Linked DNA regions of Oryzias latipes. The protein of the gene in region 1 purifies or fractionates together with the protein of each later gene. This does not show direct contact. Links are inferred from orthologs where the notes say so. Each region holds a gene or a part of one and is shown in the gene's direction. Other genes may lie near its edges.

Region 1 (3,513 bases):
ATCCAATGGATGCATCTGCAGTTTTTTTGATATTTCTATTTTTTAATGAAAGTTTAAATTGTTATTCTCTTTTTTCCTTTTGGAGGAAGTGCAGCTTAATGTTAGGTCGTGTAGTACTCACCCAATTAAAAGCACGCTAGTTAATAAGTGTCTCAATATTTGAGTAAAGGGAAAAATAAAATAAAAAGGAATCTAGAGTGATAAAAGTTTCCTTTAATTCTGAATGGACCAGAAACAGTGTGAAAATCACTCATTTCCTTTGGAATAAAATTAGTTAATTGAAGATGATTTTTCCTTGCAGGTATGGACACCCAGCTGGTGGTGCGACCTTTGCTGGATAAGGTGGAGAAAAACACCAAGGAGTCTGCGCTGCGTAAAATCTTGTTCCCGCACGTGAGTGTTTAGAGAACAGAAACTTTGGAGTTTTTACTCTGAAGGATTTGTTTTACAAAGTAAAGCTTTTTTTTTTCTAAGTGAAAATGGAGTCGTGTACATTGTTGCTATAGTGATCTGCTCCATCCTCTCATCTTCACAGAAAAGTCTGGTTTGTTGTGCCAAGAAAGCCGGACTCCTGCTGTTCCAGTTCCCGGATCACCTGGAGCTGTGGAGGCTGGGGGAGAGCAGCGCAAAGGGTGAGCTGGACCATCGCCTCCTGCAAAGTTCTCCGTGTTCACACAGGTTCCTGCAGAACAGGGCGGAGTTTAAAGAAGAAAAAAAAAACATTTCCCATAACGTGTACTGTAAGAAATGTAAAAGTTTAGATGATTCTGTTCTTCATGTCAACTGGACTTTAAAGGTTGATCTTGGAGATGTTTGGCTGCTCCTCTGAGTCTTTCCTTCAGTCCTCTTTGCCGTTGTGATTTCTGTGCTAAAAGCGTTTGTGATGGTGGGAGTCCAACGTGAGATATGAGTCGGTATGAGAACCTCATTGAACCGGAAACCCACAGACACTTCAGAGGATCTCAAAGCTAGGAGGTATCGGAACATCGCAACAGAAACCAGAACGCCGGTGTCAAGGATGGAAAAGCTGGACTTTGGTGAAACCCAAGAAGAGGAGCCCAAGAAGGAAGGAGGGCAACATTTGACCTTGTGCCTAAACTGCAGGATCTTCAAACATTCCTGTTACCTTTAAACTGAGACAAATACTGGTCCACCCTAAGAACACAACGGAGGAGAAGCAGACCAACGAGGTCCGTGTTATCCAGTGCAGTCAAGACAAAAATCATAGCACAGAAGAGCCACAACATCAGGCCTGGACCAGCAGCTCACCTGAAGGCTGATGGACTCTCCATTGTGGACAGATCAGCTGGAAATTAAAGAAGCCATTTTTCGTCAAAATAACCTGACTCAACATCAGTTGTTGGAACTGAAGAACACTCAGAGGATCTTCATCCTTTAGAGTCCAGCTGCTCTGCAGAACGTGACCTGCATGTTGAAGAATGATCCATAAACGCTCCACCTTTGCTCACTTCAAGTTACTAACGATGTGAAAATGTTTGAAATAACCAAAAGAATTGGTTTTAAAGGAAATGGAATCTGTTGTTTGATGGAATCATGAATTGTTGCCGTATTTTTAGAGTGTTTCAGCAGACATTGCTGCTGCTTGTGTGACAAAGGCGCCGAGTTCCTCTGTGTCCTAAAGACAAATTGAGGCAAATTTCATCCTTAATTTTTTTTCCTGAGAAAATGTCACAGAACAAAACATCAACAAAAATCTCAAATTTTTATTTACATTTAAACAAAACGTTACAAGACTATTAGGACCACCAAAGATTTTAGTAATAAAAACAAGTACGAGAAGAAATTGTGAGGAAAAAATTGCAATTTTGTGAGGAAAAAAGTTAAAATTTACCCCAAAAAATGGTTGTAAAATTATGAGGGGGAAAAAACGAAATTTTACAAGAATAAACTCAGAGTTATAAGTAAAAGAGTCAATGTTTTATGATGATAAACGTGCGAATTTACAAGAATAGTCATAAATTTAATGGTGCAAAATTCTGTTTACTAAGAAAATATGTAAAAAAGTAAAAATAACCAATGAAAGAGCATTTTCAGGCCTCTCAGAAGAAGGTTGTGGATGGAGTTTTGCACAACCAAATATATTTTTGAAAAAGTGTGCCTTTTTCCTTGCAAAAATACAACTTTTTAATAATAATTTTACTGGTTTATTTTCTTAAATTAATGTATTTTATTATTTTCATGGTGACCCTAAAACTTTCTTAAAAACTGACGTGTTCAAACTTTTGTCACATTCCTGAAAATTTCAGGCTTGACTTACAAATACAAAGCTGTAACTTTAAGCTCTTTATAAAGTACTTTACATTTAATTCCATTTAGATTTAAAATTGAAAAAGCTTTTTTTTTTTTAAACAAGTTTTTTTTTCCTTAGAGAAATTTAAAAAGCAAGTGTTTGGAAGTGATGATGTGCCCAAAAATAGTTTCCGTAAATTCAAACTAAGAAAAAAAGTGCAGGTTCCTTTGCTTTTCTCTGACTGTGTTGCTGAAAAAAAAGAAAATAGGACTAAGATCGTTCATAAAGATGCCGGTCTTTGTTCCCAGGACAGGCTGGAGATCGTCTGCCTGTGATGAAGAATCCAGAGAAGCTGCTTCAGCTCCAGAACAAGGTCTGTGTTGTTTTTGTGTGCAGCTTTTCAAATCCGTGTTGAATTTCAGTCACGGCATCACACCGTTCTGACGGCATGCCCCCCTCCCACCTCTCTTTCTCAGGGAGAGGATCACATCTGCTGCAGCGCCGTGTCTCCATGTGGGAGCTGGGTGGCCTTCTCCACCGTCTCCAGCGTTCGTCTGTACAAACTGCAGCTCAGCAACGGGAACATCAGCATCAAGAAGGTGCGGTCAAAGCCTCAAAAACCTCCATCGTCCTCTTAAAAAATGACCCTTTACTGAAAAGCGACGCTTCGTAAAAAGATCTGTTAGATTGCACAGATAAACGCTGCAAAGCAGACAGGCAGCTGGGCTTAAGGCTGGAACAACCAGGAGTTCTACCTGCAAAGCATGAAGGGGCAGAAGTGAAAGAACCAAGAGCAAACATTAGAGTTTAGTCGTTTAAAGATGCACTCCTCAAAAATACTTCTAGTACTAGTCACAATTGATGTTGTTACTACAAATGTTCAGTAAATGATGCTAATTTTCTTTCCTCTATCCTTAAATCTATTCTCAAACATGTCCTCTCCTCTTCCTCGTGTCTTTTCTTTTCGTTCCTCTCGTCTTCCAGGTGTCCAAACTGCCAAAGGAGCTACACTCTGTCCACCAGCTCTGCTTCTCCTCTGACTCATCCAGACTCTTTGCCTCATCGGCTCAGGCCTCCGTCGTTGTCGCTTCGCTGGACCAGCTGCAGTGCAAACACCTTCACACGCTCAAACCAAAGTCTGGTGAGTTCCTGGATCCATGGAAGGAGATTCAGAGGAGCAGCTTTTTTTTTTATCTGCTGGAGATAAAGACCTGCACCGATCACCTTTTGAGCTGGTTTAGAAGTGTTCCCAGTGGTCTTTA
Region 2 (4,207 bases), on another chromosome or scaffold:
GAATGAAACTCCTGACAAGTCTACTGCGGGCTAGCAAAAGAAAAAAAAGCTACAAACACCGCGGCCTTAATGATCTTCAATTAGACGTAAGCATTTAGCTAAAAATATACTCTTTCATATTTTTGTGACTATGAATCAATTCTTATTGCATAATTTAAAGTTGCATTAAGAAGTGTGTAAAATGCTGTCAGACTAAAACAAACCTGGCGCTGGGGTGAACACGCGGTGCGAACGACCGTAAAGCAGCGGAGACGCCGGAAATGACGTCAACGAGTCGCCCCAGAAAACACTGCTTTCCTTACCACTGATTTGTGCAATTTTTCAATTCCAGTTTTGTTTTTTAATTGTTTACCATAAAAAACGTTTTTGTCAACGTTTTTATCTTTAATCATAATTGTATACTATTTCTAAGAGTAAACAATTTTGAGAATAAACCAAACTAAGTTGTTGACTGAGAAATAATTTGGGAATTTAAGCCAGTGATATGTATTAATATTAATAATTATTATTATCAGTATTACTTGGCAAGAACCAAGTGTTGTTTGTTTAATCCTCTAAATAAATAAATAAATAAATAAATAAATAAATACCAATGAGGAACCAGCTTCTTAATGCCACACTAAAACTTTAATTTAACATGCAGTTAAGAAAATGTTACTATTCTCCATACGGACCACAATATACTGCAAACAATCTTATTGGTTAAATTTTTTTTTTACCTTCCAAACACATTCATACCATGGCTAGTGTATTGTTTATTAAACTAAACTGCTCTTGTACACATTTTTATTACTAATCTAATTGTTTCTACAGTTGTTTTTACATTTACCTTGTTCCCATTATAATTATTTTAGTTGAAATTGTTGTATGGTACACGTTCAGTTGGTGGTCTTTTTCTTTACTCCGAGTGTGATGACAATAAAGCAATCTAGTCAACAGTAGCCTTTTAGAGAAAAATATCTCTGGTATGGCAATGTGTTTGCACAGCTTTTGTTTGAACAATTTATCTTCATAGTCTGTATATGTAATTGTATTTAGTATTTTAGACATTTTAAATTGTGTATGATAAATTCATAAATGTCCTATTCTTCTATTATATCTTGGAGGATAAAAATAAATCATTTGTATTATTTTTTTGGATTTGTTTATTTATTTTGTCTGATCCTTTCTTCTTATCTCTAATGAGGATTCAAGGATTCAACAGTAAATACTGTTCTGTTGTGGGATGAACAAATTATTTTCTATTCTATTCTATTCTATTCTATTCTATTCTATTCTATTCTATTCTATTCTATTCTATTCTATTCTATTCTATTCTATTCTATGTCCTGAAGATGCCACCTCCGACCTGAAGGGGGCAGTCAAGAAGTAACACTGTGACCGGAAGCTAACAGAAGAAGCAACATTTCTCTTTCTAGCTATGGCGTCCTCCTGAGAGCTGGCTGACAACGTGATTTAACGGCAAAATGAAAACTTTTTTATTTACCTGAACGAGACATCATATTTTTATATTCTTGTTGGTTTTCTACTTCATAAACACACATCCGTCCCTCTGTTTGTTCCAAGGTAGGAATAAATAGTAAACTACCAGCGGTAAGAAAAAGTGCTAAGTTAACTGCACCGCACCACCATGGTGGTCTGCTGCGCTTGGGTTCATACCAGCGGTTTTAAATTTAAATGGTTTAGTGTAAATAATAGGTAAATTAGAGCTTCATAACTAAAGTAGTTGGTCATATATTTATTTATTCATTTATTTATGTTGGTTTCTAAAAGTAATATTTTATTTCTTAAGTAGCTAGCTAATTCAGTTGATATTTTTATGCTAGTAAGTTTAGTTAACGATGCTGTTCTTTGAAATGTTTTGTATGATTGTTTGGTTGTAACATGTTTGTTTAGCTTCATCCATATATTTAGTATTTTTAAACTGTAATATAAAAATATATTATTTATCCTGTAAAAAATCCAACTTTGTTTTTGTGGTTTTAAAGTTTAATTTGTCAATGAAAATTATTTGATTTGAAGCATTCAACGAGCGCATTATTGTATATTATTTAGATGTCACCTTTTATTTGTATTTTTCCGGCTATATAAATTAGACCGATCTGCAGAGATGGCTTCATATAAACCAACAAACATTCCAGTTTATCCCAAACTCGGAGAGAAGATCACAGAAGAAACACTGTACTGGAAAAACTACAAGGTGGATACTTTTTTTCTATGAATATCCCTTTAATTGACTTGAATCATAATTTATCTTTATGACTAATTATTGTTGCTGCGTTCAGATCCTGTCGAATAATCTGAAAGCATGTAATACCGGTTGCATGGTTGGTGGTTTTAAAGTAAATCATCTGATGTATGCAGATGATTTCGTTGTTTTTAGCCCCAGCAGCTCCGGATTACAGCAACTTTTAATTGTTTGTTCCTAATTTGGTTTTAAAAATGATATTTTATACAATTTTAATAATAATTCGCTGTGTTTATTTGTCATACCAAGGAAGATGTTACATTGAATTTTCCTGCTTTTAAACGTTCTGTTTCTGAGCTTGATGTCTGTCACATGACTTACAGATGATGATTATTTCCACAGACAGGTGTACTTTATGTGCTCAGGCAAACACGCTTGCACGCAGGTTTTATTTGTGTTCTGACAATCTTACAATTATTCTATTCAAACTTACTGCACACCCTTATATATTTCCCACCTGTGGACCAACTACAGGGCATCCAGCATGGGGAAGCTGCAGGTAGCCTATAACGATGCCCTATAGTTTTTTTTAAACAGCCACAGTGGTGCAGTTTGTTGATGCAAGAATTAATACTATCCAAGCTTTGTTGAGATATTATCTATATCTATGGTAAAATACCTGTCCCCTATTTGGAGGATTTGGTATGGTCACTTTTTTAAACTTTTACATTTTTTAGTTTGCAATAGTTTGTCTTTTTTTTTAAAAGTTTATCACACTTGGTAATCTTATTTAATTGTTTTCATGCTTCTACTATCATGAATGCTTTTATTTTTATTCTTAAATCTTTTATTTGCTTTGTGCTTCTTGTGGCAAATGGACCTTGAGTTTTTAATAATAAACTTCAAACTTCATTAATGTTTTTTTTTCTATTCCAGACGCCAATCCAGATAAAAGAATTTGGAGCTGTGTCGAACATTCACTTTTCCCCTGTGACTCCCTATAATTTTGCTGTGACAGCTTTCACAAGAGTAAGTGTTTTCTTTTGAGTCAGGTTGTTTTTAATTTTTTTTATATTTAATTTATTTCAGTTGTCAAATTCTGGACGAGAATTTGAACACCTAATATTGATTTACAACATTACAGAAACACAGGTTACATGGTCAGGGAAACCTCTTACAAAAATGTGGTTAAAATGAACTTAAATTGGTTAAAAATCACTTAATTGTAAATGTAAACTATTAATTTTTCTAATTAACTATTAATCTCCTTATCATAAACCCACTTCAAGGGTCGTCACATATTTTACATTTAAGAAAGGTTTATACGAATTTGTGTTGCTCATTCAGAATATGTTGTTTTGAGAAACATAAGCAAATATAATAACTTTAATATAAAGCTGAGGAAATGACTTGTTAATAAACAGAGTCGACATTACTAAGGCTACGTTCACACTGCAGGGTGAAATGACCCAGTTCCGATTTTTTTTACCCCTATGCGACCTGTATTGGATCTTCTCATGACAGTCTGAACGACACAGATCTGATCTTTTCAAATGTGACTTGGGTATGTTGTCCTGAATCCAATACGTATCCGATCTTTTGAAATGCAACCGCCATCTGAATGGCCAGGCCACATGTATCTGACCTGTACATCATTGATACGCTACAAACGTCATAATTCTGCGTTGAAGTAGGCGGGAACGAAAGCATAAACAACAACCATGGTGGACGATGCTGCTGAGACCAGTCAGTGGAAGGGAAGTGAGGTCACCAATTGGATTAATATTTGGGGTAACAGCTCTATTCAGGCCAAACTCAAGGGCTCTTAACACAATCGGGCGCCTTTCCCGCGATGACTTTTTTTCTTTTCCGACCGTGGTCATCCTCCTTCGGGGTTCACTTCCCCGTTCGGACCCTCAGATTCTCCAGGGTGGGTTAATAAAGAGTCAAAAGCAGTTCTGCAGGGGGGAAGCCTTCTTTTATTACCGTTCTCCTTCCTCCGTGACACACGGCATGAAT
Region 3 (4,067 bases), on another chromosome or scaffold:
ATGAAGTATGTGGAGCCTTTTGTGAAGCTTCATTTCCGGATTATTATAGGTTTAAAACAAAGAGATTCTGAACCTTTTGGCAACTCAAAATCAGATTATTTTCCGTGCAGCAGTCTTTCCGGGGTTCAGTGTCAGTAAAGCGGAGTTTAATATGTAAAATAAGGAGCTCAGAGACACGTTTGGGTGTAGACAATCGCTGCAGCCTTTATTCTCCTTTTCATTCACATATCCTGAAGTTCATTTGTCTCATTACGTCATGAACCTGTCATCCCAACACCAATGCGGAAGTAAACAGTGTTACAAACGCCCCCTCCTGCAGATGAAATGTCCCGTTTCAGCATAAAACAATAAAGAGGAATGAAAATAGTGTTTTATATTAGCTTTGGAACGTTGAAAATGCCAAAAAAAAGTGCTCCTCCTTTTGTGTGACGGAAGCGTCACACAGACGTAGAGTCTTGTCTTTGGTGGAAGAAGAAAGGATTCAAGCGAACAGCTGCAGGGACACCGACGACGGCTTCATCGGGCTGCAGAGATCCTGCAAACCAACCATCAATAAATAAAACTTTAATGAATCGTAAATCAAACAAATGACCTTCCAGACATTTGGAACGTTATCAATAAACATTCAGCTCACCTGTTCAACAAAGTTTAGTCGGTCTGCTCTGCATGCTAACTTCCACTGTAATCTCCTAAAATTACGACTTTTTTTCTCCTAAATTTACGAGTTTTTATCTCCTAAATTTACGAGATAAAATCTCGTAATTTTACTTTTTTTTTTTTTGGTGGCTCTAATTTTTTTTTTTTTTGGTGGCCCTAATACTCCGTCGTACAAAGGAGCACTGTACGATTTTGTCAAATATGCATCATAATTATGGAAACACTTACATAATTAATTTAACAAAGCAGAACAATGGAAAGATAATCAAACAATGAAAGTCCTTTCATCTGCAGAATCACCAAGGCCTTTAAAACTGTATTTAAACTGTAGGGGGGGGGGGGGGTTATAATAGTAAAAAACAACTAAACTAAAAGTAAATTATCTTCATTTGTAATGGTCAGAAACGTGATATATTTTAACTTTTTTATTTGTACTTAATGAAATATAATGTGAATAATATTTGCTTATTTAGGCAAATAACTCAAAAGAAATTTGAAGTGTCATCACAAAATGTAACCTGCAGTTATGTCAACACCTTCTGGCGGGCAAGAGGGGGCAGTCCTTGGTGAGTAACAGTGCGCATGCCCGTGATTGGACGCACGTGGTTTGTGTAAGCACGGCGGCGCACGCAGACGCAAGAAGAGCCACAGAAATGGCGTCTGACGGTGGCAGCTCATCGCTGCAGCTACCCTGCGTTTTCTCACCCAAATCACGCCAGTATTTGGCTGTGTGCGCTCAGGATGGGAGACTTCGAATCTGGAATACAGACAGCAAAACTATTCACCAAGAATACGTGCCTTCAGCTCATTTGAGTGCCACTTGCACGTGCATCGCCTGGGGACCATGCCGAACAGTGAAGGTGCGTGAAGCTACCGTTAGCCGCACGAGCTAGCGTCGGAGCGAGGCCCGAAAAAACTATGTGGCACGCGTTTCCTATCGAACGGACGCGATCCAAACTGTAAAGATAAACTATATTCATAGGTTGTTACATTACTGGGTCATGATTTTGCTTTACAAATTCAATGTTTGTCGAAAAGTTTTGTTTATCGGAATAGTTACTCTAGCTAGCTAGCATGAAAAGCTCCACACGAGCGCACATGTTTGTCCCACATGGTTAGTAGTAGTGAAGGAGCAGGATGTCCCATTTGAAGTGTAGCGTTGGTGACTCCCCAAACAGGAATAAATATGTGTATATATGTAACTAATATGTTGTCACGATGAGCTTGGTGGTCTCCATTTAAATAACTTAGTTATTAGCATTCTGACTTTATCAGTACTACAACCCATGATCAATAAGAGGAGCGATCAGTGTGGAGGTTAGTTGTCTGTCTTTATACAAATCAGTTTTTAAGAATGTGGCTTTTTGTTTGAAATAATATGCATATCATTGTTTGGGGAGGACATAACTAATGAATAGATGATGTGGGGGCATGTTTTCATAATTCATCTAATGTTCTTCAGGAGGGACCTCAGAGGAAGAAGAGGAAATCGGAGGCGGTGCAGGTGGAGGAGAAGGCCGACCTGTTGGCGATGGGCACAGCGGCTGGCAGCGTCCTCCTCTACAGCACTGCTAAGGGAAGCCTCCACTGTTCCCTGGTTAGTTTGGAACAGATGTAAAATACGCCTTTCACTGTGATCAGAGCTCAAACCTGCAGTTGGGACTAAAAATCCCATAATACCTCCAACACACACCTGGATGTGACAGATGGGTTAGAAATCATCTGCAGTGGTCTGGAGAGGAAACGGCGGTGAGGCTGATGCTGTTTCCTCACAGTCTGCAGAAAACTTTAAAGAAACTCACGTCTGTGTTGGTTAAAACATTCTAGAAGCTTTTCTATTTTCAGTTCATTGTTACTAAATTGAAGGTTTGAGAAAAGTAAAGAATGAAATAAACAAAAAGATAATAATGCAGACATGTTGGTTTTTCTGCACTAATTCATGACTGTTGGTAGCAAATCTTTGCCTAAGGTTGTATATTGAATGCATTGCACTTTAAAAAATAGCCACATTCTGCTGTAATATATATATTTTTCAATCAATGATATTTTATTAATCCCACTAAGGGGAAATTTGGTCCATTTTCTCTTTCAAATGAGAATTTTTGTTTTTTTAATGGTAGTTATGTGATGGTTCAGAGAAAATATACATCATAGTTTAAAGGATGAGGAATTTCAACTTGCAGGGAAAAAATCACTTTTGCTTCTGATAAATGGCAAAACCATTCAAATCAGACATAACAGTACGCTGTACTTCTGTTTATTTTGGGGAAAGAGTTGAAGTTATCAACATAGGATAGGAGTTTGCTGGTTTTTGGACCAACCTCCAGTGGTCGTTTGAGGAACTGCAGCATTCTGGGTTTGTGCCCAATTTAAGAAAGGAAAACAGTCAAAGCAGCAGTTTAAGAGGGAATTCTTTGGAATGGACAATGTAACTGTGATTGGCTGAAAAATGCTCAAGCTAGCTGCAGACATGTGGATGCATCAGCATCAGTCACAGGCAAAACCCAAAGGAAAGAATCTTCAAAGTTCATGCAGCTTGGTATGAGAAATGTTCTCCACGTTTGTCCCGTCCCCTGGGGGAGCCATTTGGTGGTTTAACACCCCCCCCCAATCTATATACCCAAAATATATACAGTTAAAAAAAATGTACACATTCATATTTGATAGAACAGTTGAGTGTTTCTACGATGAGCCGTATCACATATCCATGGTCTGTGAATTATTTGTGACGTCACCCATAGAAAATGACTGGCTTCAACCAAATAAACTCAAATTAGTTGACAGATCAAAAAGAGTCATTCTGACAAATAGATCGACTGACTAACAGCTGTTTATTTCTCTATAGAAGTCTATGGGATTTTGGTTTCTTGGAACCACTTTGTACTTCCTGTTTGGAATGCCGGGGGGGGGGGGTGTCACCGAATCCAGTTCAAATAAACAGTCAAATCACTTTAAATGACTTTTTAGTTGATTAAAGTACATAAACATATTTTTTCTGTGCCTTAAACAAGTAAAACACGTCCAACATTTTTCACATTGTTAACAGACTCATATTAATACAGTTTTATAAATATCAAAGTGTGATGTAGAGCAGGGGGGTCAAACTCATTTTCACTGAGGGCCACATCAGCATAGTGTCTGTCCTCAAGGGCCAGATATAACTTATACATGTAACTAAATGTAATGAAAAATAAATGTAACTACTCCTTAATGTTAAATAACCCATTGTTTATTTATTATAACCTTTTAAATGACAATTACAGTTGCATAGAATATGCATAAATATGATTCTGTCAGGTTAGGTTATATGGACAGTGTTTAAGTCATAATGTATAGTTGCTCAATCTGATATTTCAAGTCAGATTCCCCCTAAATATGAATAAATACAAACCAATTTTTATTTTAAGAAA

What was found. Proteins that work in one complex are often made in the same cells at the same time.
Region 2: the proteins of utp4 (region 1) and utp15 purify together in Homo sapiens (co-immunoprecipitation; 4 studies listed by BioGRID and IntAct, counting the BioPlex papers as one, with this or other methods). This does not show direct contact. The link is inferred for Oryzias latipes from reciprocal best matches to the Homo sapiens genes UTP4 and UTP15.
Region 3: the proteins of utp4 (region 1) and wdr43 purify together in Homo sapiens (co-immunoprecipitation; 5 studies listed by BioGRID and IntAct, counting the BioPlex papers as one, with this or other methods). This does not show direct contact. The link is inferred for Oryzias latipes from reciprocal best matches to the Homo sapiens genes UTP4 and WDR43.

The regions. Positions count from the first base shown.
Region 1 is NC_019864.2:27,342,687-27,346,199, forward strand, and holds part of utp4 (U3 small nucleolar RNA-associated protein 4 homolog), read left to right. Parts: intron 1-301; coding exon 302-393; intron 394-535; coding exon 536-632; intron 633-2,559; coding exon 2,560-2,624; intron 2,625-2,727; coding exon 2,728-2,850; intron 2,851-3,235; coding exon 3,236-3,392; intron 3,393-3,513. UniProt on the Homo sapiens protein: Ribosome biogenesis factor. Involved in nucleolar processing of pre-18S ribosomal RNA. Part of the small subunit (SSU) processome, first precursor of the small eukaryotic ribosomal subunit.
Region 2 is NC_019867.2:5,951,592-5,955,798, reverse strand, and holds the start of utp15 (U3 small nucleolar RNA-associated protein 15 homolog), read left to right. Parts: upstream 1-1,397; 5' UTR 1,398-1,593; intron 1,594-2,096; 5' UTR 2,097-2,110; coding exon 2,111-2,200; intron 2,201-3,124; coding exon 3,125-3,217; intron 3,218-4,207. UniProt on the Homo sapiens protein: Ribosome biogenesis factor. Involved in nucleolar processing of pre-18S ribosomal RNA. Required for optimal pre-ribosomal RNA transcription by RNA polymerase I.
Region 3 is NC_019880.2:27,244,114-27,248,180, forward strand, and holds the start of wdr43 (WD repeat-containing protein 43), read left to right. Parts: upstream 1-1,257; 5' UTR 1,258-1,310; coding exon 1,311-1,517; intron 1,518-2,119; coding exon 2,120-2,254; intron 2,255-4,067. UniProt on the Homo sapiens protein: Ribosome biogenesis factor that coordinates hyperactive transcription and ribogenesis. Part of the small subunit (SSU) processome, first precursor of the small eukaryotic ribosomal subunit.